Linked DNA regions of Canis lupus familiaris. The protein of the gene in region 2 purifies or fractionates together with the protein of the main gene of each other region. This does not show direct contact. Links are inferred from orthologs where the notes say so. Each region holds a gene or a part of one and is shown on either strand. Other genes may lie near its edges. The genes, in order: SPIDR and SWSAP1.

Evidence for each region.
Region 1: the proteins of SWSAP1 (region 2) and SPIDR purify together in Homo sapiens (co-immunoprecipitation; 3 studies listed by BioGRID and IntAct, with this or other methods). This does not show direct contact. The link is inferred for Canis lupus familiaris from reciprocal best matches to the Homo sapiens genes SWSAP1 and SPIDR.

What each region holds. Positions count from the first base shown.
Region 1 is NC_049256.1:1,369,139-1,372,201, forward strand, and holds part of SPIDR (DNA repair-scaffolding protein), read right to left. Parts: coding exon 2,965-3,063; intron 2,659-2,964; coding exon 2,533-2,658; intron 2,412-2,532; coding exon of another isoform or gene 2,334-2,411; exon of another isoform or gene 2,067-2,333; intron 1-2,066. UniProt on the Homo sapiens protein: Plays a role in DNA double-strand break (DBS) repair via homologous recombination (HR).
Region 2 is NC_049241.1:50,348,881-50,352,683, reverse strand, and holds SWSAP1 (ATPase SWSAP1), read left to right. Parts: upstream 1-1,508; 5' UTR 1,509-1,554; coding exon 1,555-1,803; intron 1,804-2,422; coding exon 2,423-2,920; 3' UTR 2,921-3,127; downstream 3,128-3,803. UniProt on the Homo sapiens protein: ATPase which is preferentially stimulated by single-stranded DNA and is involved in homologous recombination repair (HRR). Has a DNA-binding activity which is independent of its ATPase activity.

The DNA.
Region 1 (3,063 bases), on a different chromosome or scaffold from region 2:
AGTTCATAATAACCATATCATAGCCAATCCCTTTTCTTCCCCGAAAGCTAAGGAAACAAACTCCCAATTTCCTATCACCGTCCGTGACAGTTAAGAAATGACATTCCAACAGCAGCAAACCCCACTGCTCTCTGATCTGCGGCGTGAGCACACTGAAGTTCAGCCCCTGGACGTCCTGCCCAGAGACGGTACGTCTGTTCTGGGGCCCAGAGCCACCGTTCTCGTGGGAAGCCTCCTGCGAGTCCTTGGCTTTTGGCCAATGGGCTTTCTCAGCCCGGAAACAGTCCGCATCGTGGGGGGAACACTCATGCTCACGCCGCCCGTACCCACGTTCCAGCAGCTCCCTGCGGGCCCGGTGGGGGCCCCGATCACCCACTGTGACAAACCGGGGAACGAGCCGCAGCACCTCCAGGCCTGCAGCTACCCTGACTCAACGGGCATCAGCTCCGGTGGGGGAGCACCCCACAACGTGCCCCCTGTGCCCCTCAGCCCGCTCATGGACACGCACAGCACACACCGGTCACACCTTTGGGCAAACCCGCCCGCACTCACACATACACCTGCACGCACACCCTCGTGAGCCCTTTGTAAGTAGGCTCAGCGGATGCGCGGACTGGAGGTAAGAATGTTCTGTGAGGCAGGTACAAGTCAGCCTCGGGCAGAGGGCAACCAAGCGAGGAGGGGGGATCTCTGCGTGGCCCCTCTTGGTCTCCGGGCCCCAGGCCAGGGAACGGCTGGAGGCTTGCCGGAGGAAGCACCAGGCTGCTCTTCTGGGGGCCTGCGAGGGCCCAGCCGGGGCCACCGGAGGACGCGCCTCTGCTGCGGGGACTACAGGCGGCGACACCCATCCCAAGGGCTTCTTCTGTTTAGGTTGTGGACTTGGTTCATTTGCTAAGTGCTCCCCTTAAGCAGGAGTTTTCCCCAATACTATCCCCCAACTTTTCCATGGAAATACCTTCCCCGATCACCGGGATCTGCCATCCTTAGCACCTGTTGAAAGCCCCCTCCAATCCAGGAGCCGTGCCCTACCCGGCGTCACGCCCTTCTTTCTTCTTCCTGTCCCACCTCGAAGGCTAAGAGATGAGGTGACAAGGGACCGTCAACAGGCACCACTGTCTCATCAGGCAGTAGACACACGAGCTCGAGGAAGAACAGGGACCTCCGTCACACCTCCCCTACTGTTAGGTGGTCACCTGTGGATGACGCTGTGCCCGACAAAGACTGTGACTGTGAGCGCTGCGCTCAGGCTTCCTGGTGGGACAATGTGGACTGAGCATCACTGGGTAACATGTGACAACAGAGCTGAGCACAGTTCTCCATCCATGATTATAGTGATTTGCTTATATTTTAGTTGTGAACCATCAGGGCATATTGGCTCCTAAACCCTCCTCTGGCCTGATCTGAACACCAGCCCCTACACTGAACTGGCCCCACAGATACAGGTTTGGTGCTGGGCCGGGGAGTCACCGAGGGCTCTAGGGAGCTATGCCCTGGCTGCTGGGCTTTCTCCCAGGGAGGGAGCCAGAAACTCTTTTTAGAACTCCACAGGCAGCTCCACCCTAAAATCAAGGTTGGAAACTATAGTCAGACCAGTGATCTTCACGGATTTATCCACATTCCAATTTAACCCCAACTCTGAGAGCCATGGTTTTGAGGAATGAGTGCAAATGGCTGCTCCGCCTCCTCCTGCTGCCAACCTTCCTAAGAGCAGGGCCGGCAGACAGGGAGACGGGAGCCCCCGGTGCCTCCAGAGGATGCATGACATCAGCCTCACGTTCTGACTGCCATGCGGCTAGGGGGACCCATCAGAAGGCTCTGCAACTTCACCACAGCCTCCCCAGCTGGCCCACGTCGTCTACTTGGGTATGTGCACCCTAATCCTGGCTCCCAGGGGCTATGCCCTGGCGACACCCCAGTGGTCAGCCCCAGGGCTCTTCTCTGGGGTTCAGCGATTCCACAGGCCACTTGTGGTGCTTTTAAATGGTTCTGACAAGACAGAGGTGGCACCTCAAGGACAGAGCTCCCTTGTTTACGAGGGGCATATTTCACAAGGAAGAAACTGTCTCTAGACTGTAAGTCATATATATTTAGGTGGTGGTTTTCTTGGAGGAGCACACCAGTTTACTAAGCCTCACACCATAGTAACTCTCAGGGCAGGCAAAACAGTTCTGAGAAATAATGGTCAAGTTTCCAGTTACTCAGACTCTGGAATACCCAGCAATTAAAAAACACAGAATGTGTGTCTCAGATATTTGTGTTCTATTAACATGAATCATGACTGTAGCCCTTGAGATGCTGCTGGCCTTCCGACCATCAAAGCCAGGGGGGTAGATTCACGCATCTGTGCAAGGCTGTTCAGGAAGTCGCCTCAATTCCAAAAAGGAAAGGCTCTCACGAGGAGACACAGGTACCTGCCAGGGAACGACAGCAGGAGGACTTGTGCATGTGCCGTGTACACTAGACACTTAGCCCACACGCGACTGCATCATGCCCTTTGTTGTAAATGAAAGTTCACGGGACAGGCGGCTGTACCTGGAGATGATCCACCAACCTGGGGCTGAGGAACACTGGGGCGCGCCCCTGGGCTGCACTTGCTCGACTTACCCCATCTTCGCAGGCGGCCAAGCTCAGGAGTGAAGCAATGCTGGTCTGGGACAGCTGCAATCACAGTGGGGCGGGAGCTGAAGCTCCCAGGACGCAGGCAGCCCTGCGCCCACGCCTGGGGGCTGCTGTTCAACCTAAACCACCTTCAGCTCTTCAGCAGCTTCCACCTCCAAGCCTCATGTCAAACGTGACCGTAGGCCACAGGTGTGGAAAGACTGCGTTGGGTGTGTGTGGCCTTCCCACCCCAGCCCCGCCCCAGGAAGGGGCAGAGGGGCCACCCTCCCGGCTCTGGCTCTGGCTCCGGGCACAGCAGCTCCCCCAGGTGGAGTGGGATGCGCACAGGCCCCCACCCGCTCCTACCTTGACCCGCACGGCGCACTGGGGCCGAGTCGGACAGTCCAGGAACACCTGCAGGTGCCTTCTGAGGACAGGAGAGGTGACCACATGGGAGCAGTCCCT
Region 2 (3,803 bases):
ACGACTATGTGATACTAGTGTCACTACTGGGTGCTTGTGCATTTGGAGTGTTGCAAGTTGAGGTGAAACATGGGTTGTGCATCTCTTGGTGGGGGGATTGAGGTGGTGTGTTTCACAAGAAATGTAACAGTGTGCTTTGTGTATGTGTGTATCGAAAGAGTTGCAGGCACATTAGCTGAAAGGAAGTGTGTGTGTGTGTGTGTGTGTGTGTAATAGCAATTGTTTGGTTGTATCAGAGTGTGTCCTAATCTGTGTGCAAGGGAAAGGATGTGGGGATGTAAATGTGGGAGGAAGTGGATATGGGATGCTTTGTGTCAAGGTAGGATAGGGCTGTCAGCATGTGGGTGATGGGGGTTCTGAAAGTAGAATATATGCAGAGATGCCATGGTGTGTGTGTGTGTGCGCGCGCGTGCACACAAGCACGCGTGCATGTGTGTAGAGGGCTGTGGAGGTGCCTGGCTGTGTGGGTGGGTGTATTGGGGGATGTTGTAGATCTGTTTTCTGGCCCCAGAGGGAGAGAGAAAGCCCAGGAAATATCAGTTCCGCCGCCCCTGGGTCTCCTGGCAACAGCACCACTTTGAAGTTACCAGGAGACAGAGTTGCCAAAGCAACCGGGCTGAGTGGCAGCTCTAGGGCGAAGTCTGGGTGAGGAGACCTAGCCAGCCATCACTTAACCACTCATCTTGTTCCTCCTCCTTTCCCAGTTTCTCATCAGTCCTACTTCCTTTCTTCATTCATTCGTTTAACAAGCATATATTGAAAATTTACAACGATCTAGTCGCTGTTCTGGGCGATGGAAACACTTAAGTGAACAAGACAAGATCTCTGCCTTGGCTGTCCCTCAATCTCCCACCCTGTGTGACTGTCTACCTGCACTTTCTTTGGTTGATGGTCATGCCCGACCCCCTTGCCCCAGGTAAAACCCAAGCAGCTCCCAGGCCAAAGAGAAAGCCAGCTGAGACTCCTCTTCTCACAGACCCTCAGAGGTGGCTGCTGCTGTTTTGCACGAGGATGTTCCTGAGCCTGCAGCCTCCAACACAAGCTTGTGCCAATACTAAGGTGCAGAAAAGGAAGCACACAAGCTCCTCCATTATTCACCTTCCCAATTGTCATTAGGTGACATCAGCAGAAACACACACAGACCCATTCATCACAATATTCCTCTGAGATGTCAGGAGCTCCATTTCACAGATGAGCAGACTGAGCCTAGGAGACTTTAAGTAATGTGTTACTGATTAGGGCCTGTTTCCTTCAACTCCCAACACTTATATTTGTTTGATTAGCTGACTAGTTCACAATAATGATAGTCGTGCTGCCTCCCTCGGCCGACTTGCGCAAGGGAAGGGTCTTTTCTCCCTCAAATGCCAACATTCCTCCTCCCTCGGACTGTTATTTGCCCCTTCACGAGGGGAGAAGCTAGTCCAGGCCAATCTAACTTTGATGGCAGATCCATGAGCCAATGGAGAAGCTAAGTGCATTGTAACCAATGAGACCCCGGGTTGGGCGGGACTAAGGGCGGGGGCGGGCCGTTGATCGGACAGAGGCACGTTGCGAATGGCGGAGACGCTGAGGCGGGTGCTAAACCAGGGCAGCTCGGCAGAGTCCGGGGAGGAGTACACAGCGGAGGCCGGGCCGCCTTTACTGCTGCTCGGCGGCCCAGGCTCCGGAAAGACCGCGCTGCTATTCGCGGCGGCCCTGGAAGCGGCAGGAGAGGGCCGAGGCCCCGTCCTCTTCCTGACCCGGAGGCCTCTCCAAAGCCTGCCTCGCGGGACCGGAGCGGCGCTCGACCCCCTGCGGCTACAGGTAACCGAGGGGTGGGACCGGAGGCGGCCTAGTTCGCACCTGAGCGGATCAAGGCTTGAGTGACAGTCAGACAGACCAATGGAAGGGACGACGGGAGAGCGAGGCGGGGCGGCCATTGTGGGGCGGAGTCAGGAAGGAGCCGGGACGGGAGGGCGGGGGCGGGACCAGAGCAGGCGTTGTTGAGACTGGGAAACCATCAAAAAAAAAAAAAAAAAAAAAAAAAAATTAAAGCGGGACGCCTGGGTGGCTCAGCCGTTGAGCGTCTGCCTGTGGCTCGGGGGGTGATCCCGGAGTCGCGGGATCGGGTCCCGCATCGGGCTCCCCGCATGGAGCTTGCTTCTCCCTCTGCCTGTGTCTCTGCCTCTCTCGCTCTCTCTCTCATAAATAAATGGATAAAATATTTTTTAGAAAATTAAAAAAGGTCGGGAAAGCGTCCCAAAAAGGGGGACGGGATGAAGGGAAGAGTATTCCACCAATTCTGAGCTGCTTCACTCTGGAACCAGCTACCCGGGTGGGGTGTGAGCGCCGAGCACAGGAAATACAGGGAAGCGGGGCAGCTGGAGCTGGGAGCCTGGCTTCCTGAGCTGAACCTAGTGTTTTCTCTTTTAACTCACTTTAGAAGATACGCTTCCAGTACCCACCCTCAACCCATGAACTCCTTCAGCTTCTGTGCTCTGCCCATGAGGCCCTGGGCCCAGCCCCCTCCCTCCTGCTGCTGGATGGCCTGGAGGAGTACCTAGTGGAAGACTCTCAAGAAGCGGCCTACTTGGCTGCCCTGCTTCTAGACACAGCTGCCCACTTCAGCCACCGGACTGGGCCTGGCCAGGGCTGTGGGCTCATTGTGGCCCTCCAGATCCAGGAAGAGGAAGAGAGTGGGGATGGCCTGCAGCTGTCGCTGCTCCAGCGGTACTTCCCTGCCCAGTGCTGGCTGCAGGTGGATGCACCAGGCCCAGGACAGCGCGGCCTCCGAGCCTGCCTGGATTCAGGTGGGCTGAGCCCTAGAGCAGAGTGGTGGGTGGCTTTCCGACCAGATGGAGAGATGACAATCACCCCATGGCCTACCCAGTCTGGTAACCCCAACTCAGACAAAGGTTCAAGTTCTGGAGGCCAGCCTTGAGCTTTGATGTGTGACACCCTCTTTGTGCCTCAACTGCCCATGGCTGGAATACTTACTTCAGGGACTTGTACAGATTCAAAGACCTAAAGAACAGTGCTTTTTCTCTTGAAACAGAGCATTACCATGTACCTATCATGCCCAATCAACATATTGTTTTGCTGTTTTGAACTTTATAAAATGTTTCGTGATAAATGTAATCTTCTAAGACTTCTTCTCCCACTCAGCATTATTATTACGATTAGTTCAGGGGCACCTGGGTGGTTCAGTGGGTGAAGCATCTGACTTCAGGTCAGGTCATGATCTCTGGGTCCTGGGATCGAGCCCCAGGTCAGGCTTCTCACTTTTTCTTGCACACATGCCCTGGTTCGTGTGTATGAGGGGTTTTAGGGTATACACCTAGAAGTGGAATTGGGAGAGAAGTTCTGCATGTGTTCATCTTTCCTTGGTTATGTCAAACTTTTAAAAAGTGGTTAAACCAGAACTGCCAGTGAAGCCACCTGATGACATTGGTCCCATCAGAGTACTTTCTTAGAACAGGGCCTGATTCAGAATAAAGCCTTACAAATTATTGTTATTCGTAGTGGCAGAGACTAGCTAGAGGCTCATTCAACGACTTTCCTCTCCTGGGCTGTACTGCTAAACTGCATTTTTTCCCCTGCTGTCCATGGTTCTAGCTGGGGTCCTGTGACTATTTCTGGCCAGTGGCATTTGTAAAAAAGAAATAGATACTACTTCTTAGGCTAAGTCCCTAAAATGGCCCACCAAATCTTCTGCGATTTGTTTTGCTTATTGGTTGGCAAGATGCAGAGAATCCATTTAAGGTGGCCCCGGGGGATGGTGAAGTTATAGACCAAGAGAGTCTGGGCTGCTGACTCATCCCAGA